Stegostoma tigrinum: one gene and its partners. The protein of the gene in region 1 interacts with the protein of each later gene in a biochemical or structural test. Links are inferred from orthologs where the notes say so. Each region holds a gene or a part of one and is shown in the gene's direction. Other genes may lie near its edges.

Evidence for each region.
Region 2: the proteins of sntb1 (region 1) and gucy1a2 interact in a test that uses a peptide from one of them, tested with the Homo sapiens proteins (2 studies listed by IntAct, with this or other methods). The link is inferred for Stegostoma tigrinum from reciprocal best matches to the Homo sapiens genes SNTB1 and GUCY1A2.
Region 3: the proteins of sntb1 (region 1) and dgkza form a complex in vitro, tested with the Homo sapiens proteins (2 studies listed by BioGRID and IntAct, with this or other methods). The link is inferred for Stegostoma tigrinum from reciprocal best matches to the Homo sapiens genes SNTB1 and DGKZ.

What each region holds. Positions count from the first base shown.
Region 1 is NC_081358.1:38,257,657-38,265,365, reverse strand, and holds the start of sntb1 (beta-1-syntrophin), read left to right. Parts: upstream 1-4,652; 5' UTR 4,653-4,849; coding exon 4,850-5,137; intron 5,138-7,709. UniProt on the Homo sapiens protein: Adapter protein that binds to and probably organizes the subcellular localization of a variety of membrane proteins. May link various receptors to the actin cytoskeleton and the dystrophin glycoprotein complex.
Region 2 is NC_081359.1:69,654,557-69,661,678, reverse strand, and holds the start of gucy1a2 (guanylate cyclase soluble subunit alpha-2), read left to right. Parts: upstream 1-4,100; 5' UTR 4,101-4,146; coding exon 4,147-4,350; intron 4,351-7,122. UniProt on the Homo sapiens protein: Has guanylyl cyclase on binding to the beta-1 subunit. Isoform 2 acts as a negative regulator of guanylyl cyclase activity as it forms non-functional heterodimers with the beta subunits.
Region 3 is NC_081370.1:1,029,737-1,036,758, forward strand, and holds the start of dgkza (diacylglycerol kinase zeta), read left to right. Parts: upstream 1-4,000; coding exon 4,001-4,950; intron 4,951-7,022. UniProt on the Homo sapiens protein: Diacylglycerol kinase that converts diacylglycerol/DAG into phosphatidic acid/phosphatidate/PA and regulates the respective levels of these two bioactive lipids.

The sequences.
Region 1 (7,709 bases):
TATAGGAAGGATATTATTAAACTGGAGAGAGATCAGAAACTATTTACCAGGATGTTGCAGGAATGGAGTGTTTGAGATATAAAAATAGACTGGAATTACTGGGACTTTTTTGACTGGAGCATAGGAGGTCAAGGTTGACCTTACTGAAGTTTATAAAAACATAGATAAGGTGAATGACAAGTGTCTTTCCCCTGGGGGGCAGGGGGAGTTCAAAACTAGGGGGTGTATTTTTAAGGTGAGAGGAGAAAGATTTGAGAAGAACACGAGGCAATTTTTTTACACAGAGTGGTTCATATGTGGAATGAACTACCAGAGAAAGTGGTGGATGTGGGTACAGTAACAACTTTTAAAAGACATTTGGATAAATTCATGATTAGAAAGGGTTTGGAGGGATTTGGGACATGCACTGGCAGGTGGGACTAGTTTAGTTTGCGAACATGGTCAATGTGGACAAGTTGGACCAAAGCTTCTGTTTTAGTGCTGCGTGATTCTGTGACTCTAAGTACTAGATGACTAAAAGAGAAAACACCTACTTCAGTACTAGAAATGACAAGATGAAAAAAAGTGCCAAATCAAAATTTAGTCCAAAAACGGAAAAATTTGAACTTTTCCAAGACAGTTGGCTAGAGTAGGGTTTGCATTTAGAATTAAAGTGACTGGTAACAGACACCTCAAAATCATTTGAATGGACTGAATTGAAATGTTTATGATCTGCATTCAGTTTCCCTATTGTAGAAGAAGCCATAATGTCTGTTGCCAATTAACCACTGTAAACCAATCATCTAGTTCTCTCAGTAGTGACTGTTGTCATGGAGAAAACACAGCAGCCAGTTTCCCTGGGTGGTCACGCCAGAGATTTTGGGCGTTGCCTGGGTGCTTGGGCCAGTAGGTGGTTTGAGGATGTGCACTCAGTGAGTGTGGGTAGTCAGGTCAGGGTGTTGTTGGGACAAGGTAGTTAATCCTGGGGTGGGCAGTCAGGTCATGGGCTGGGTAAATGGATGAGGGTCGGTCAGCTAAGTTGGCTGGACAGGTGCAGAGTAACACCAATGGCATGGGTCAACTCTTGTACTGGCTGAAGGTTACCAATGAAGGACTCTTCTCTCAACCTCTCCCCTTTCCCGAGGTGTGGTAACTCTCAGGTTAAAGTCCTATGCTTCAGTGGGATTATGGAGACTTCACCTTTACCTAGAGATACTGAGAATTCAGGATCTGTAATCGGGTCATTTGAGAGCTAGGAATGGTAATAAGGCCGATGAAATAGGTTGTAAGGACAAGAAATTGGGCAGTGGTAATCGGGCCAAGAGTGGGTAGTCAAATCAGGAAGGGGTGGGGGGATGGTATGTGAGTTGAGGGGTAGTTTGTCAGATCAATGTGAGTGTTGAGGATGGGTAATCAGGGATTATGGGAGAGTGTGGTGAGTGTTGACCAGTCAGATTAGTGAAGGTGGGTACTCAGGTTTCGGAGGGTCTAGTGATGTACTGGGTCAGTGATATTAGGGTTTGTGCAGCTGGGATAGAGGTGGCCAGGTTAAGAACCTCAGTATTGAAGTCAGTGGGGTTTTTTTTAATATTCATTCATGGGATTTGGATATCACTAGCTCAGCCAGCATTCATTGCCCATCCCTGATTGCCCAGATGACAGTTAACTGCATTGCTGTAAGTCTGGAGTCACATGTAGGCCACACCAGGTAAGGATGCAGTTTCCTTCCCTAAAAACATTAGCAAACTAGATGGGTCTTTCTGGGCAATAGATAATGGATTCATGGTCATCGTTAGACTTTTAATTCCAGATTTATAATGAATTTAAATTCCAACATCTGTAGTGGCAGGATTTGAATCCAGGTCCCTGTGCATTAAAAAATGTGTTTCTGGAGGCTGTCACTTCCCCTCATATGCGTAAGAGGGTGGTCACGTTAGGTGAGGTGTTTGGGCAGTTTTGGTCCAGGGAAGTGAATGGGTCTGTGGGATGGGAAGTTAGGTGTGGGGGTTGTGATTAGTGGTGTGGGGTTCTGTGTAGGAGGTTTGGGACGAATTGGGTTACATTGTTTGTGACTTGATAACAATTGTAGGGAAAGTATCCAGGTAAGTCCCACGTATCTACCCAAAGTTTCCAACACTGACTTCAGTTTAAGGTGGAGTGTCTGACCAGCAGGTATGTGCCTATTGGGAATTTAAACTCGCTGTAACTTCCCGTCATGATTTCCGCTGGGTCCTAAAGTGGAACAGCAATGATGCCTCAGCATTCACCAACGTTGGTATTGGAAAGTCTGATCAATTCAAGGTGGTCAGCAGGATGAGGGGGGTGAAGAGACAAGTGCAGTGGCTTTTGTCGATGTTTGTCCCAAGCAGCTCCATGACACAGGGCACTGTGCTCTATGGTCTGAGACCAACATCAATGCCACCTAGAGGACCAGCAACTTGGTGAAAGATGTTCTTGTCTGTCAGAAACTTGTTAGTCTTCCAGTGCAAGAAATTGTCCCTGACCGAGTGTTGCAGGCTGGAACATCCCAAGGTCCAGGGCTATGTGCTGAGGGATGCGCTAAAGCTTGGGGCAATGGGGAAAAGGCCACTGTCTAAGGTCTTTCTGCGTAAGTACAGTGTGGGTCTGTTCAGCTGTCAGGCCCTCTTGTTGCCTCAGATGTATGTAAATACGATCCTGCAGAAATAAGAAATGCCTCTAGGTTTTGCAAATGCAGAGAATATCAGGTTCCAATGTTTGGTTTTCTTGATATGCAAAGACTATACAGAATTGTTTTTTTGGCTTGAAGACAAGGTTTATTTTTAATTAACTATTTTGTGCGTGTGTGTTTCTGATTAGGTGCATCATTATCCCCTACCTCTCCCTTTTGTCCAGCTTTGATGAAAAGTTGAAACAGCCTGTACACAACACACATTGTGTGGCCAATACTTTGATCCTCGTGAAATTGTATTTTGGATTACTGAAGAAGTGAAACAGCTTTTATAATTAGAGAAATCTATTCCGCCCAAAATTATGTACATAAAGGGTTTTTTTTGTGAATAAAGTTACCCTGTTATAGGAAAAACATAGTTAAAGCGGAAAGCATGCAAAGAAGATTTATGAGGATGTTACGAGGACCAGTAGGCCTGAGTTATAGGGTGAGGTTGGCCAAAATAGGACCTTATATCTTGGAATGTAGGAGAGAGCGGGGTGACCTTATTGCGGTGTATAAAATATTGAGGGGCACAGATAAGATGAATGCATCTGGTCTTTTCCCCAGCATAGCTTTAAGCATAGGTTTAAAGTGAGAGAGAAACGTTTTAAGGACCTAAGGGGTAACTTCTTCATGCAGACAGTGGTACGTATATGGAATGGGCTGCCCAAGAAGATGGCTGTGGCAGATACAATAGCAATATTTAAAAATAACATTTGGATAGGTGCATGGATGGGAAGGGTTTAGAGGGATATGGATAATATGCAGGCAATTGGAAGTAGCTGAGGGGGCACCATGGACCACTTTGAGCCGTAGGGTCTGTTGTCATGCTCTATCACTCGAAGCATATTCTTGCATTAAAAATAAACCCTGTCCGTATCACGATCAGAGATAATGGGAACTGCAGATGCTGGAGAATCCAAGATAACAAAGTGTGAAGCTGGATGTACACAGCAGGCCAAGCAGCATCTCAGGAGCACAAAATCTGACGTTTCGGGACTAGACCCTTCATCCGGAAGGATCTAGGCCCGAAACGTCAGCTTTTGTGCTCCTGAGATGCTGCTTCGCCTCCTGTGTACATCCAGCTTCACACTTTGTTACCCTGTGGGTATCGTGTAAGGCGCATTCTCTCTTAAAGCCACATGGTGTCGTAGTTCTCTGTAGAAACTAACATTAGACAAAAAACAGGTTCCCGCTCAGTTAAGGAATTTCTCCTTGTTTGCTATGTGTGCAATTATAAATTGTGGTAGTTGGTAGGGGTGTGTGACCCTTCCTGTCAAACAACTCTGCTTTTCCTGGGACTCTGGTTCTTTAATAATCTTGGCTTCGGATTCCCTTTACCAAACAGAACAGCACATTGTGCAGGAACAAACCTTGTTTTTATAATCATTTGTGCGTACCTTATGGCGTCCCGGTTCTCGTGTATTCCTCGTTTCATCAGAGGAACAGCATTTGCTCAAGGTATAATGAGGTTCCCTGCTCTTTTATGGTTGGGGCTGTGAGTGGAATCTGGGGCAGGTCTGACAGGATTAAGTTTTTCGGCTTGAAGACAGGGATTTTTAAATTAAAGTGCTAAACTATGATTTGTGCGTGTGTGTTTCTGATTAGGTGCATCATTACCTCTCCCTTTAGCCCGTTTTGATGAAAAGTTGAAACAGCCTGTACACGACAGGCATTGTGTGGCCAATACTTTTGGATCCTGGTGAAATTGTATTTTGGATTATCGAAGGAGTGAAACAGCTCTTATCGTTAGAGAAATCTATTCTCCCCAAAATCTCTCTCACGCTCAAAGCAGGAGGTGAAGCCAACTATTAAAGCCTGGGATTTCCCGGGTCAATTTCAATTTGAAATTTACACCTGACGGCCCACACCTTTAAACCAGTGACTGGTTCATTTATTCTGCACAAGACAATGTAACTTTTAGCGCGATGTAGTTACACTCCACGCCTCCCAGTTCCAACACACACCCTCTATAGTTCACATCAGAAAGTGGGTGGAGATTTTTTTGTTGTCTAACTTGTCCATCTCAAACAGGAACCGAGCTTAAGAATTTCTTGGCACTAAACGAAGTGGAGGGAGGGAGAGAGAAACAGGAATTCCAATCTCCCCTTAAGGGCTACAGCCATTCGGAGCTTTATCAACTTCTGGACCGAGTGGCATTTTAAGAATGCGACAAAGATGGCGTTAGCCGGCAGAGTACAGAGAAGTGGACTGTTAGAAGTTTTGGTCAGGGACAGCTGGCATCGTGTGCTGGCCACCCTGAATCAGGAGAATCTGATCCTGAGCTGTGAGCAGCCTGGGCACACTGCTTCCTGGAATGGACTCACCAACGGAGCGGGCTCACAAAGTCCCCAAGCCGCCTCCCGCAGCCCCAAATCCACGGCCGTACGCAACGCCTTCACCGAACTACCTGAACACATCCCCGAAACTATCAGCAACAAGAAACGGAGCGTTAGGGTCATCAAGGTACTTCCAGTTGCCTCCTGAGAGAATGGGAAGTCTGTCGTCTCCTTCCCCACCCCCCCCTTTTTTTTGCTGTTTGAGTTAATGTATTTTCAGTGATGCTTTTGTTTTGCTTTGTACTTTTGATTGTAAATCAGTTGCACGTTTTAAATTCCATTTGCAGAAAGTTGGCAGTGTTTTCTTGCAGTGACATTTGACATGGGATGGCACTCTGTTTTGCTAATTCCATACGTGTCCCATTCCCAGTCAACAGCAAAACTGCACAATCTCAACGTGCCACAGTTTCATTAGTTGGTCACTTTGACCTTTTTGGTTACATTCGACCTTTCCCAAAAAGGGAGAGGAGAAATGTTTTCGATTTAACGTCAGGATTAGCCCACGCTTGTGTCTGAATCAGTCTCTTGTGACCAAGGTGGGGATTAGATGTTTTGAGCCGTGAAGGGGTTCCAAAAATTAACTTTTTAAATAAAGAAATGGGCAATGAAAGCAGAGTTTCAGGATTCAGCTCTTTCCGCAACAACTTCTGAGTGTGGCAATAATTTCTGCGTTTGCTGTGATTTTGTTTTTCGTGCTTACCTTTTATTCACCGCTCCGAATTAGTTCGGAGTCTGGATTTTTTTTATCTATATATCACTTTACGAGTTCTGCCATTTTTTTTGTTAAAAGTGCCCAGTCATGATTAATAATCGCTGGGCTTGCAGTAGCGCCGGCGAGAGCTCTACAAGCTGTAATTAACCCATCGAATACCCAAGGCTGGCCCCTTTGCTTGGGAGGTGCACTTGGTTGCAGGCGCCTCCGCATCTGTTTATAAATTAGCTTGCATTCATATAGCGCCTGGAACATCCCAAAGTCACTGGTATCAGCTTTTAAAATAAACCATTGCGATCACTGGCCCAATCAGCTGTGACATTAAAAAAAAATCCACATTTATACGTGACTGGCAATTGCCCTGTGAAGGTGGCAAATAGCTTTGGGGGGCACTTGAGAGTTAATCACAGAGGGCCAGGATTAACTAATAGTTCCAAACCAGGTGAAGGTGGCATTTCTTCCTCTAAAGGGCAGCACAGTGGGTTCAGTGTTTAACACTGCTGCCTCAGCACTGGGGACCTGGATTCGGTTCCACCCTCAGTAACTATCTGTGCAGAGTTTGCACATTCTCCCCATGTCTGTGTGGGTTTCCTCCGGGTGCTCCAGTTTCCTCCCGCGGTCCAAAGAAGTACATGTTAGGTGGATTGGCCCAGTAGTGTCCAGAGATGAGGAGGTCAGGTGCATTAGCCACAGGGAGTGGTAGGGGGCTGGGTCTGGGTGGGATGCTCTTTGGAGAGCTGTTGGACCAAATGGCCTGTTTCCACACTGTAAGGATTCTATGGGATAGTAGTGAATCAACTCAACATCTTCACAGCAATTTTCTTTTTCTTCAAAAATGTACTTTAATCATAAAAAAGTACACATTTAGCCACAACGTAGCATATCAAGGAAACAAAGAAATATTGGAATTTGACTCTATCTAACAAACAAACCAACTCAAACTCTTACTCGAACAAGACAAGACTGTGCGTTTGAAGCACAGAGAGGGTCCGATAACTGAAGGGATCCCGACTTGCCTTCGGCAGAGGACCTCAGACTGTGGCCTTTCCCCACTGTACCTTGGTGACAGCTGCCCCAAGCTTCAGTGTGTCTCTCAGCACAAAGTCCAGCACCTTGGAAGGTGCCAGTCTACAACACTCAATCAGGGTCAACTCCTTGTCCTGGAAGACCAACAAGTTTCTTCCAGATTGCTCACCCCTGCTTTTATTTTCCTGATTTTCTTGCTTTTTTTGTTTAAACTAGGATCTGGACTGATATTCTACTGTTAAGTCTAGGTTACTGAGCATCTAAATACGACCAACTTATTAGTTAGGTGGGAGGTATTAGCATGGTTTTAATGTCACTTGTAATTCAGAACGCCAGGCTAATCGTCTGGGCTAATGGATTCAAATCCAACCATGGCAAATGGTGAAAGTAAATTAGGGGAGGTGACGATCTAGTGGTAATGTGGCTGGACTGCTTTATCCAGAGACACAGGTAATGTTCGGGAGACACGGGATTGAATCCTGCTATGGTAGATGGTGGCATTTGAATTTAATAAGAATTGGGAATTAATACTCTAATGATAGCCATGAATCCATCGCCAATTGCCCCGAAAGACCCATGTGGCTCACTTAATGTCCTTTAGGGAAAGAATCTGCCATCCTTGCCTGACATACAAGTGACTCCAGGCCCACAGCAATGTGATTAGCTCTTAACTGCCCTCTGAGCAATTGGAGATGGGCAATAAATGCTGGCCTCACCTGCATTGCACTTGTCATGTGAATGAATAAAACAAACTTGATAGAAACCTACAATAAAAAGCTAAAGACAGCCCCACCTGTCATACTTATCTGCTTTGGCCTATATGTGACTCCGGACCCACAGTAGTGTCTGGGTAACAAGGGATGGGCAATAAATGTTGGCTTAGTCAGCGATGCACAGATGCTGCAAACCCATTTTCAAAACAGTGGGTTTTCCTTCAGTTGGGATGAGGGGTGAGTAGAAG
Region 2 (7,122 bases), on another chromosome or scaffold:
TCAGAGAAAGTAAGAACTGCTGATGCTGGAGTCAGAGATAACACAGTGTGGAGCTGAAGGAACACAGCTGGCCAGGCAGCATCAGAGGAGTAGGAAATCTGAACAAGGGTCCTGACCCAAACCTTTCCTGTCCATCAGATGCTGCCTGGCCTGCTGTGTCCTTCCAGCTCCACACTGTTATTTCTAAATTTCCTTATTTTTGTTTTCATGCTAGGAAACCTCCACACTACTCTGCAGGGCCTTAACAACTTTTTTAATTGTGGTGCCCAGTATTGTCCACTTGAAATGAAATTCAGTTAATGATTTGTAAAAATCCTGTGTTAATTTCATGCTTTTGTATTTAATGTCCCTGTTTCTAAGTGAGCTATACTAAGAATATACTTAACTACCTTATCAATCTTAATGTTGTCTTTAAATATTTGCTTATATGTATCCCAAATCCTTCTGATCCTGTATTCCTTTCAAAATAGTACCATCTGGATTACACTGCTGCTTCATGTTGCGTTTTTGCCAAAACGTTCACATTAAATTGCTTTTGCCATGTGTTTGCCTATTTATCTTCATTTTGTTTGTTCATCTGATGCGGGTATCATTGGATGAAAGTCAACCACATTGTTGTAGGTCTGAAGTCATATATAAGCCAGACCAGGTAAAGACGTCATTGTTTCCTTCCCTAGAGGACACTAGTGAAAGAGATAAGCTCTACTGCCAATGTTTCATGGCCATTATCCAGATTCTTAAAATGATTTAATTCTACATCCCCTGAACATTACGTGGCTCTCTGGATTACTAGCCTAGTGATAATACCATGACTCCATTGCTTTCCCCTCTGCACTTGTCAAGTCTGATGCTATTTTGCATATTATTTACTATAAGGTTGTAAGTTTGCTTGCCGAGCTGGTGGGTTTGGTTGCAAACATTTCATCACCCTACTAGGTAACATCAACAGTGTGCCTCCGGTGAGGCATTGATGTTCTGTTCCACTTGTTATTTATATGCCTCAGTTTTTTGGTGTGCTTGGTACTACTTCTGGTTCTGTTTCTCAGTGGTTTGTACACAGGTTCTAATTCAATGTGTTTGTTGATGGATTTCCGGTTAGAATATCAGGCCTCCAGGAATTCCCTCGCGTGTCTCTGTTTGACTTGTGCGATTTTGGATGTGTTGTCCTAGCTGACTTTGTGTCCCTCATTGTCTGTATGCAGTTTTGTATCAGTTGTTTAAGTTTTCGTGAATCAATTTTGTAAGTTTTCTTCCAGTTTGGCCTATGTAGCATTTCTAACCGACGTTGCATGGTATTTTGTATATTACACAGGTTTTACTGGTTTTGGGTATGGGATCCTTTATATTTGTCAGTAACTGTCATAGGGTTGGTTGTTGGTTTGTGGGCTACACTGATACCTAGAGGTCTGAGTAGTTGTAAGGTCATCTCTGAAATGTCCTTGATGTTGGGTAGGGTGATAAGTGAGTCTGGTCATGTTGTGGTCTGTCACAGAGGTAACAGCAGATTATGCTATTTGGGTATCCTTTCCTTGTGAAGACTCCATATAGGTGCATTTTTAAAAACTCTGGATAATGGCTTTGCAAATTATTTACTGTCTTGTCATGTTGAAACTGTAATCCGTTTACTTAAAACTAACATGTTTATATTCAAAAATGAGGGACAGTTTTGACTCTCAAGGGACTACCTATTTCTCTCCAGTCAGAAAACCATCTGATAACAATTAATTTCAGCCTTCTGTTCCTGAGTTACCCACCCAAGCTACCACCATCCTTTTAGTTCTAGAGCTTCTATTTTTAAGTACATCTGTAATGTACTTTATCAAATGTATTTTGTCAAAAGTCCACACGTAAATATAGAGATACAGATGGCAATCTCTGCTGTCTTCATTAAACATATCCGTTATTTCAAATAACTCAATTACATTTGTCAGGCACAATTCACCTTTACACATTTATGCTGGATGTTATTTCTAAGTGAGAATTAATTTTGACCTTGACAAAGGCGTCCAGTAATTTTTCCATCTTCAACCTTAGCCTCATTGACCTGTTGTTACCAGGTTTATCTCGCCCCATCTCTGAGCTTTTTTTGATCAAAGATGTAACATTTGCAAATCTTTAGTCATCTGGTATCCCCTCACATGCACAGAGGACTGAAAGATTGTGGTCAGAGCTTCCTTTATCCTAGCTTTCCTTGATAATTTAGGATGTATTCCAATTTACAGTTTCCCAGTTAACCTTTGTTTCCTTTGTCATGCAGAGAGTTGCATCCTTCCTCTCAATGAGAGGAAGGTTTAGTTTTTACCTCAGGTATTTCACATCTACCTTGCTCATTTCTCATTTTCTTGGACAAACTTTGTTCTAGTCTGCATGTGCTGAATGAATGTTTTCTCAAGTCAATAAAATTGGTTTTCCTCCAGCTGTTTACTTCTTTTTATTTTTATTTTGCACTCTCTTTAAATCTAATTAGATTATGGTTACTACCAAGATGTTCTCCCAGTAACGCTCCATTTGTCTTATCTTATTCATTGAGCTAAAACTAACAGGGTCCTCCTCACTTTGTGATAAATGTTTAAGAGGTGTCCTTTTAGGAATTCTTCACATGCCATACTTATTTTCTCAATGAATTATATGGTATTTTTGTAATAAACATTCTAGGATGAGAAAAAAAATCACTCTTTTAAAATAACTTAGCCCAACGGGAGCAACACCACTCTACACAAAGAATGAGACAATTGAGGAATAACTTATTGGGTCCTAATAAGCCTGATCATTGGTAACTAAAATTTCCCTGGGCACTACACTGCAGCAGAAGGTAAAGTCACTGTAGTCACTGCTCTCTCACTATGGAGATCACTGGCAGTGGTTTAACCCGAGTCAGCATGCAAGGGGAGAGGTTGAGAAAGAGAGTCTTTCATGGTAACCTCAGCAGATGCAGGAATCGAACACACTCTGTTGGTATTACTGTGTACTGCAAACCAGAACTGACCTAACTGATCCAGCACTGGAAATAAATTGAAGAAGGGTCATTGGACTGAAAAGTTAACACTGCTTTCGCTCCACAGATGCCACCGAATATGCTGAACTTTTCCAGCAATTTCTGCTTTTGTTTCAGATTTCCAGTACCCGCAGGTTTTTTTGGGACAAAATATTTGTTGAACTCCTCCATGTGAGGTCACAGTTAGAGACCACTCCAATGGATGACATTCAGCTAAGATAGACAAAAAGAACCGTCAGTTCCTAAGAGTTCTGCAGCACATTTACAATAATTTTATCGCGACCGTCAAGCTCTTGATAACCCCGTGAAAAACCGAAAAAAATGCGGATGCTGTAAATCAGGACAAAGTTGCTGGAAAAGCTCAGCAGGTGTGATGGAAAAGCCGGAGTTACCTTTTCTGGTGACCCTTCCTCAACCCCCATCTAGATTGAAACCCCAGTCAGGTACCACTGTACCATTTCCTTCTGCTGTGCGTATATGACATTTGATACAGTGTGCCCTCTCCCGTTTGTAGCTGTTTCATACACTATCCAACCAACCACAACCCGAGCCACAAATCTACTCTAAAGTCTTAGACTATCCTTAAACTCATTTGAAACTGCTTGCTCTTCCAATACTGAGTGTGAAGCACAACCTCTCTATGGCTTTGTGGGGAAAAGGTTCTGCTTCTTGGCAAAGTTTTTATTAACAGCACCCCAAATGTTGCTTTGTGTTTTTAGATGGAAACAGGTGTGTCACTATTGAGCTGATTCGAAGGTCCTTGTTTGGATCAGAGAAGGTAGTTTGTGAATGTGGTCTTTGGTATCACTACCGAGACGTGCAAATATTTCCCCAGACAGGATGGAGAGCTGGGTTAGCGGCTCTCGTTGTCCTTTAGGACGTGTTAACCGCAGCGACATTAAAGACGTCCGAAAACACGTGATCACAAGAACCATGAGCTTTAAAAATGTTTGCTCTCGGTGAGAAGCATAAGGAGCGAATGTGATTGTTTGGGATTCGAGAGAAACGAGCGGTGAAGTGAAAGCGCGTTCTCGATGACTAATTTCCTGTGGCGATCGCGGCTATAAAGCTGGGAGATGTGCGGAGCTGCCGAGCAGAGCAGCAGTTCGGGGGTGGGCGTCTTTTCGGACTAATGTGCGGGATTGATCAGAATGTCAGAGAGGAAGATTTCATCCGAATCGTTCAGCTCCACCGGCTCGGATTACCCGGAGAGTCCTGAGGACGGGGGATGTCCGTTTTCACGGGTGTTCAATGGGAAGCGCTCAGTTTCAGGGGCTGGCAGCAGGAACGCTGCTCGCAGGCGCGTTAACCTGGACTGTTTGGGAGAGAGCATCTGGAAACTTGTCTTTCCAACGGTAAAGAAACCAGAAATGCGCACACCCCCTTTCTCATTCTTCTCGCTTCACGCCCCGTTGAGTCCCTCTTTCTACGGCGTTTTCATTCCCTTCACATTCATACCCACTCACTCACCCCTGTGCATTAAATCATCACACATAGTTCTGAGCATTGGCGCTTCAATGGGATTCATGTTAAGTATTGTCTCCTGTCCCCGTCGATCATTGTTAATCGTGTGACTATGTTGGTGAAAAGTTCTAGGACGTTTTATTAGTGACCATTTGGAGCTGCTACATTTCAGGTCTGCGTTCTCACCCGTATTAAACATTAAAGTCCGTGTTTTGATTTTACAAATAACGACAGCGTGGAATGCTTAAAGAGGCTTCCAAACTTCTGTCGCCTAGCGAATGAATTCACGTGTACAATTAACACCATCAGTAATAAATCATCTTAAAAATACATCTCAATGCGTTCTGGGGGTGAGGGGGGGGGGGATCCCACGGATGTTCAAATCCTTTCTGTGGAAAGAGAAAGAATTGCAATCCATTCACCTTTTAAATTTTAGGTGCGTTGATATGGCGAATTGTTTGAAAGGGCCATCCAACTTTTTCTTAGCAACGTGACACCTTCGCAAACGTTGGTTAAGAGCTCGCCGCTCCGGCGATCACTCCGAAAGGCGATGTTCCTGCCTAACGTGATGGCGCTAATTCGAACCCATTAATTATTGTCTGGCGATTGCTTTCATGTTCGAGAATGCCGTTCTTTTCATTTCCCTCACTGGTGCACTGCTGTTACTAATGGAAATCATCAAAAGGGGAAAAAATCTTAATATTCTCAGCGAAATATGACTAACAGTCCTCACGACTTTTAGATCGCCGTATTTGCTGCGTAGTTGGCGCACCATTCCATCACAAATGGATGGTTTATTCATTTCTAAATTTGATTTTTGTATTTCCTTATTGCCATCTTTTATTATTGAAAGGAAAATGAAATAGATACGTTTTAAATGCAACTTGCACTTCTGGATCGTACCATGATACAACTACAACATTTAAAAGGCTTCTGGATGGCTATATGAGTAGGACTGGTTTAGAGGGATATGGGCCGAATGTTGGCAAATTTGACTTAAGTCCGATTGGGATGTCTGGTCTGTGCGTATGAGTTGGACTTGTCTGTTATGACTGTATAAATTTTTCGTATTTCATCTCATTGTTTTGACTGTTGATCATCGTCCACAAACAAGTTAATATGATTTGTATTGTAGGCAGATTTTGAAGTACTTAAAATTAAATGTATTTGTTACAATTTTTATTCAAATTTTCTAATCTTTTCTTTTAATTGCAAACATCAAACATTCAAAGGCTAGTATGCATCCTTTGGAGTTTAAGAAGTTGTGTTTTTGAAATTGAGATCTGATATCCCGAAAGAAACAAACTCAGTGGGCTGGAAATCTGAAATCAAAATAGAAAATGCTGCAAATACTCAACAAGTCAGGCAACATCTGTGGAACGAAATGAGTTAATGATTTGGATTTTGTGGGGTGTATTTCCCACCCATCTGACTGAAAATGTAAATCAGTATCCTGCCCTCGGTACGGGAATTACAACACTGGGAGCAGCTTCTTGTTTCAGAGTAGAACTTCCATCTCAATCTGGATGGAAGTCCTGTCCCAGAGAGCAATTGGCCAAACTGAGAGGGATGGAGAGCCACTATTTCATGTGCAGTGGCAGAGGACAGGCAATTAGCTGAGTTACAATCACTGTGCTGATTATACTCGGATGGAGGAGATAGAGCCAGAAATCCCAGGGCCATTGAATGTACTGTTTCCAAAATACAATATCCTTTTTAATCCACACCCTAGCTCAGTCATTCAGATAGGTAATGACCTGGTATGAAATTAAGGTTGATGGTATCTGTTGCTGTTAAAAAAAAAATCCTGCATTTATTTACACTTTTCATGACTGCAGAAGTTCCTAAATCACTGAGTACAATAAATTTCTTTCGATCTGTTAGGCACTGTTTGCTGTTCTCTTAATATCTTTTTGAAAAACAGCCCCTACAACAATACAGACATTTCTGGAGAATGTGCTGCAATGTCAGCAGTGCCTTTCTGCTAATATCTTTGGGAATAGGATTTGAACCCTCAGCCTGTGACCTAGGAGTGAGGATGTTAAGGTGCTCAACTATGGATGTCGCAGAGTGTGCTGCAGCTGCTCTTTTAATTCCTCAAATTTCCTTCAGGCCAAATGTGTGGCCCTGGGTATTCGCACTTGTCTCTTTGCGAGGTACATGGAACGTTCCTTATTCCAATCCTCACCCACAATTCTTTCTCTGGGACATTAATGATATCATGGGTGCTCCTTCCCTCTCTCATCCAGAATTGAAAAATTTCATTTTGGTTTCATTTCCAATTTCCATCCTGTTCTCACCTTTACTTGGTCCATCTTTGACTCCTCCCTACCGTCCCCTGACATCTCCAATTCCATTTCTGGCGATAGACCGGCCACCAATATCCACTACAAAAAAACTGACTCTCAAAGTTACCTTGACTATTCATTCTCACACGCTGCTCCTGTAAAGACTCAATTATATTTTCTAATTCCCCTGTCTCCATCTTAAAAGTTCCGATGATGCCAACTTCAATAAGGCAATCTCCAAAATGTCCACTTTCTTCCTCGGCTGAGCATCCCCAGCACTGTAGTTGATAGGGCCCTCAACTGAGTCCGACCCATATCCTGCACTTCAGCCCTCATCTCCTCTCTTCCCTGCCAAAACAATGGTCAGGCACCCCT
Region 3 (7,022 bases), on another chromosome or scaffold:
TTATAACTATGCCTTTTAAAGGTTTCGAAATAGGCTTGTGTAATTCAGCATAGGTGGAACGCTGGAGCGTTATTGTAAACCTCGTGGCCCTGACCTTTTCTCAGATTGGCGGCAGCTTCCAGTGTCCTTTGCATAGATGTTTCACAGCTACCGTAGTATTATATTTGTAATGGACTTTGGCTCTTCCCCGCCTCCAGATTATCTGTGAGATTTATTCTGCCTTTTGAAACCTCCAGATGCCAGAACCCTCATAGTTTGCAGACACCGTGCTTTCAGTGAAGCACTGTAACAAGACTGCAGAAAAGTTACTGATAGAGCAGAATTGGGCTTCTGCTGAAGGGCAAACAGGGAGAAGCTGAGTCACAGAAGCTGAATTTGAGCACGGTTGCTGTTGAATCAGTTTTCTTCAGCCACCGAGTCAACAGGGAGCTCCATTTTTTCTTAGCTCCCACAGGCTACTAGAGGGGTAGCAGGCACCACTGGTTGCTGTCAGATGAGCCCTGTTGGGATTGGACATCCAGCAAGGTTCAAGTCGCTGTAATCCTCCCGGACCCTTGGGGTCCTGTATTGTCAGGAGGGACGGGTAGTGGTTTAACCTGAGTTTCACCACCCCTCAGGCGAAGGGACAGGTTGAGGAGGAGAGTCCTTCATGGTAACCCCAGCTGGTGTGGAAATTGAGCCCATGCTGTTGGTGTCACTCTTGGTCAGAACTGGCCGTGCATCCAGTACATGCAGCTTCATGGTGAATAACATGTTGGTAGGCAAAGTGGTAGCCTGGTTGCCAATTGGGTCCATAATGTTCGCTGTGTTAGTTGGCGAAGAGATTAAAGAATTATGAGTGTGTGCAGCTATTAAAGGAGCAATGCTACAATGCATTTCACGTGGACATATCTGTACATGAGTGCTTTTAAAAAAAAGTAATACTCTGACTTACTGGGTGTAAAAGTACTAAGGAGCCACACAACAAGGATCAATGTGAGATTTAGCACTGAATCACTGGGCAACAGAGTGCAGTGTAAGATATGTTCTTTAGGACAACTGGAGCTTGTGTTGTTAGGGTACAGCAAACAGACCCTGGTATGGTGATTGATGGCACACTTTTACTAGCTGCTGTACAAACTCCGTGAACTGCCTTCACTACAGGGGGGTGCCTATGAGAGTGGTTCAGCCTGTTTGATTGGCACGTCACAACCACTGGTGTGTGCATAATGCTGGACATCAGTGTGGTTAAGAGGAAACACAGCTGTATATCGTATCAGGGACCTCCCAGTCAATGTTAAAGCCTGACCCTCTGGCTTCAGTTCTCATTCTTGGGAACATTGTCAGCCTATGTCAAGACAGAACCTCCCAAAGTATGGGTTGAAGGGTCTAGGCCCGAAACGTCAGCTTTTGTGCTCCTGAGATGCTGCTTGGCCTGCTGTGTTCATCCAGCTTCACACTTTATTATCTCCCAAAGTATGGCTTGGGTTTGGTGCCTTTTAAACTCGAGGATCTGTGAGCGTTATCAATAGGAGCAGGGTGTTCGCACAAACCCACAAGCCTTTGCTGCCGTTCAGTTTAGAATATGAAGCTTGAGTTGAGGCAAAGCTTTTTCTACCTTGTTTGCTTGTTCCCAGATTGCTATTGGGTAAGGCCATGAGTAACTTCAGCCTTGACTCTCCTGCTCAGTCCTGTGCCCACAACCTATTGGGAAAGAAGACTTCATATTTTTCTCTACCTTTGTGTGATTCATTTGGACCCCTCCAACTCTAAATTTGAGACTGTGCATCCTTCCTCCAGAGGCAAAAAAAACAAGGAGATAAAATACCTCTCTGTACAAGCTTTCCTTTGCCTTCTTCTCGGGCTGGTATCTAGTTGTTAATGTGCTTCACCCCTGGACTAAGGGGATGGTCGCATCTTCTGTTACTAGCCTTTCCAAAGAGGCATTGCCCTGTCAATTGTTTCATTCCTGCCTCCTGAGACATGGGTTGTATTGGCTGCTGTTATTGTCTGAAAGAATAAAATGACCATTCTGTCATCTGAACCAGACACATTTATTGCCCATCCCCAGTTACTCCATAAAGGCTTAGGACCTACTCTTGCCGCTTCTAGCATCTTGCCTGAATTCAAGATTCTGCACTTGCTGAAAGGCAGTGAGGGCAGGAAAGCACTGAGTACCTGAATATTGTTTGTTAGAGCTTGATCCACCCAATCTAAAGAGGCCTGCCCCAGCAAACATGAACAGTGTAACTGTCTATGATGTTGTCTCTCTGGAATTGTCAATGACAACCATTCCTTTAGTTAATGTTCATCAAAAAAAGTGTTCTCAAGAGTTTTAAGCTGTGCAGCCTCAGTCAAAGTTTTTCTTTGAAAATGAAAGTATTAATTCCTTCCATGTATTACAAGTATAAATTCTTGAAAGGGAAGGACTTTGACCCCCTATCTTCCAATGAATGATAATAATGAGCTCTGATCATCTCTAACTGGTTCTTTTATCTTAAATGAGTGTTCTTTGGTCATGTCAGTGGAATGTTAGGCAGATATTTAATGGAGCCAACTGCAATTTCATCTTCCAGTGAGCTGCAGAGAGGCCTGTGTCACCTCCTTTCAGAAAGACACATCTAATCAGCCTCTTAACTGGAGTGTGGTGGTCCTTGTCCCCAGTCCTCAAGGATGGAAATCCAGCCCCCCAAGGAGAGAACACCCCTTCTAAAACCTGGCACCCAATCAGAGGCCAGAAGCTGTGTATTGCTCAGTGGGGTCGATAAGTAGAGTGGCCACTGTTGGTACTGCAGCCACCTGATATCCAGGGTCACTGAGACTCTCGGGTTCAAAGCTGGGTGATGATGGGATGGGGGCTGTGATGGATGACAGTGGCTCTCAACCTTGATCCTTTCCCAGGGTGGCCCCTCAGTCAGGCCTTTGGATGACAGGATCTACCCCTTGGCCAGCAAGTGATCCTAACAGTGTTTGCTTTGTGTACTCCCTACATGGTGAACACTAACAGTGCAGTGAGGTTCCACGATAGATGTATATTGACTGATGAAGGTCTTCAGTTGACTGTCGAGTATGGGGGGCTGAGTTGAGGGTTCCTGTCCATGGCCCTCCTGCCCCAGACCTAATCGAGGCAGAGGTGGGAATTTGCACACCCAGACCCATGTCTGTTATCATCCTGCCTGATGAAATACCTCCCGAACCCAATGAGCCTAAGTAGGAGAGCATCATGTTTTGTTCACTGTCTCCCCATTTGCTTTACTGAAGCCTTCATAGTTTTGACCATGTTGGTTAAGTGCCTCGCCTTAACTTGCTTTGTTGTAGCGCTACGCCACATACAACCAGACAGCAGCCCTTCACCAGCAGCCCTTCCAACATCAGCCTAACCTGTTCAGGATTTAAATGAAAATGCACATCAGCGAACCCTATTGCGTCGGGTGTTCAGATATGGTGGTAAGAATAGCATTCAGTGCCCAGAAGCAATTGAGACTTTAAACTGTACCAATGGCCCATTCAGAATCTGACAGAAGTTTTTTTCAGTGTGCCTACACACTGGGATTGCTTGATGCAAACATGCTGCAGGAAATGGGAGAGCGTATTTGAGCAGGAAAGCCAAGCAGTGTCGTTTATTTCTCGCTGCTTTGGGGCTCCTTGGTGCACAACTTTCACCATTTGTGGTTCGGCATTTGCAAAGCTTGTCCATTCTTTCTCAGCAGCGGCCTGGCCCTAGGATGGCACTCTGTGCTGGGTGAAGAGCATTAGGAAAGGAGGTTGGTTGGGGCGGGGGGGGAGTACTGTCTTGTTTGGCACTCCTCCGGCAAGTGTCTGTCGCACAGCGAGCTTGATCCGATGATGATGTTGTTCTGATTCCTTCTCTGCCTTTTCAACAGCCCTCAGCCCACGGGAGACCCCATCCCACTGCCTCTCGCCCCCGCCCACCCCCAACCACTGAGCTGCATCTCTTTTCAGACCCAACAAAACCCACCACCCCCACCCCCACCCCTCCCCAGGAACAGCTGCAAAACGGATGGAGACGTTCTTCAAAAGGCACTTCACAAAGGCGCCATCAGGGGTCAGGTTGCCTGGTCGGTGCCGACGGGCAGGTTGGCGCATGGGAGGCCCGGTGCCCGGCAGTAAAGTCAGGCGCCGCTCGAATGCGGGGATGCCCTCGGCGTTGTTGGTGCAGAGGCGCCGGTCCAGCCTGCAGCTGCCGCACTGCCCCCACCACCTCCATGCGCTGGCCAGGAGCAGCGGCCCACGCCGAAGGTCGAGCACCACCGCCCTCCACCTCAACCCCAGGTTCATGGTCCAGCAGAAGCCGGGGAGCAATTTGCGGGCCATTGACAGCCACCTGCTCGGGCCCTCCGTGCTGCTGGCCAGCCTCATTCAGATGAGCGAGGATGAAGAGGGCACAGCCCAGCCAGGCTGCGGGCTGAGGGCCGGCGCTGCTCCCGATGACTCTGACAGCAACTGCTCCTCTTCTGGAGGCTCGGAGTCCTCGTCTGCGGGCAGGAGCCGGAGCGACCAGGAAGCGGGTGTGTGCACTCCCCCGGGGACCCCAGAGGCCCTCCAGCGTTCGACCTGGCGTTACAGGCCCGTCTACACCAAGCCTTTCCTGAGGGCCCCTCGCTGCCTGAGGAGGAACTCCTCTCACCTGGTCCCTGCCGAGTTGGTCCACACAGGGAAAGCGGCCTACGGGCTGCAAGGGAAATACAGGAGACGGACTCAGCGGCGGCGATCAAGCACCATCCCTCTCCCTGGCACACAGCGGAGCTCGGTAGCAGCTTGCATCCCTCCCGGTGAGCCAGAACTGTACCGGGTGGTGTCGGTGGGGAGCAGGAGACCTTCGCTGAACATCAGTCGGCCGTCCCGCGCCCTGCCACCGCGGTGGAGGCACAGCGTCCGCAGAAATTCCCTCCACTTGACCCACAGGAGCCCTGCGGCCAAACATTCCCCAGCGTGGAGCAACTTCCTCTCGTATGTATTCTTGCTGTTGGTATGGGGAGGGTCTGGGCTGGGTGTGTCGAGTTGGAGAGGTGGGGTGGCTTGATGTGGAGGGACCTTCCTCTCGTGCTTGCTCTCCGCTATACCTGTCTCTCTCTCTCTCTCTCTTGCTCTCGCTCTCACTCACTCTCTCGCTCTCACTGTCGCGCTTTCTTTTTCACGCTCACACTCATGCTCACGCTCTCTCTCTTGCTCTCACTGTCGCGCACTCTTTTGCACTCTCGCTGACTCTCATCTTGCTCTCGCTCTCATCTCGCACTCTCTTGCTCTCACCCGCTGTCTCTCATTCTCGCTCTCTCTCTCGCGCGCTCTGTCGCTCTCATTCTCTGCTGGTTACCTTCCAAAACATATACCTGATCCCACCTTGGTGGTATAGCTTGTAGTCCTGTGGGCAAGCAGCTAGCTTTCCTGCATTGAATAGAGGCAGTGCTCCCGTGCACTGTAGTACCCTACAGTGAAGGCATAGAAATCAGGCTCCCTTGAGTTTGAAGTTCCTCCATGACAGGGCTGGAAACAAGACGGTTCTGCTCAACCTGCCTTTGTTGAAAGTGCTACTAATTAATTTCTGCTCTAATATCTAGCACTTGTTATTCAGTTTGTTCCTTTAAATACAGCAGCCAGGGTAGAATAAAGAATACAGATGTTTCCCATTTTCCTTTGGTTTTGCCAGCAGCTGAAATCAAGATTACAGTATCATATGAGCCCAGTATCTGAAGTGATTGTCCTGCAATGTTTCAGTGATGGCTTTGAGTTAGTTTGTATTACGAGCTGGTGCATGCAAGTGAAATTTTCCCCTTTATTCAAAATGGCACATGGCTCACAGAGTGTTGCATGCAGTTAGAAAGTCGTTTGCCGTGAATGATTTAATGCTGTCTCCCAACGCAATAAATAGAAGTGAGGAGATTATAAACTTCCTGCATCCGCTTTCCTCTTTGCTGTTCTGAAGGATAGCAGTTTGGCAGGAAGACCAAACTCTCAGAAGTAAGTAAGTAAGTGGGTGAATTAGAAGGTCAAGTCTCACGGTAAGGTATACGCACATCTTTAACTCAAAGATTGTGAAAGAAATGATGAGCATGGTTGTTGGTGCAATTAAGCATGTCATTTAGTTCACTGTGTGGTAATAATGACGGAAAAGATTCCACACTTTGACATTGTGGAGAAACTTCATGTGAAATGATCAATAAGTAGCAACAGGCTTCCCTTAGACAATGCTGCTGGATGCCTGCAATGTTCTCCCTCAATGGAATGTTTGAGATCCATTAGCCTCACAACCTAGTTCTTTAATTGGTGGACTTGTTCAATCATATGTTGGGCCTGAGAGAGACAAGGAGATTTGATGCCTAGCAGTATATCTAAACTGTCCTCAGGCCAAATATCAATGTGAGAAAGTGATGATCTTTATTTTAACTGTGGATTGATTTTGGTCTCCCCCCAGTTCCCACCAACTCTGCCCACTCTTACATGTTAAAATTAGACTCATTAAATGCTGGGAAGTGTGTCTTGTTTTACAACAAGAAGGTATTTTTCTGCTGTTTTTGCATAGATGTGTATCTCTGGGCAATTTCCTAAAGAATTAAGAATTGATTTCTAGCATATTTCCCTGCTTACACATCTTCCACTACCTTGAATTCACCACTTCTCGTTGAATACCCTTCTCAGAAATTTTTTTCAGTAGACGATTCTGGTTACACAATTAACATAATGTCTGTGGAGAGAGATTCATGTGAGAGTATTTATTAATAGCAGTTCTGTCCGAGTCGGTAAAGGTCTTGGTGTGATTCCGAAGCAGATTGAGCAGGAAGCTACTTACATCACTGTCAGGAAGGAAGCAATCCACAGCTCCCTGAGGCTGATATCTTTTGCGCTGGGGACTTGCAGTGCCAGCTTCTTCGGGGTACGGTGAACATGCTAAAATTCTGAGACTGCGCGCAAGGAATTTCAAACTATCTTACAACTTATATCTTCAAGTTGAAAACACTATTACTTGCCTCCTCTTTTTCGACTTTACAGTATATACACTTTGAACAGCTGAGAAATGCTGCATT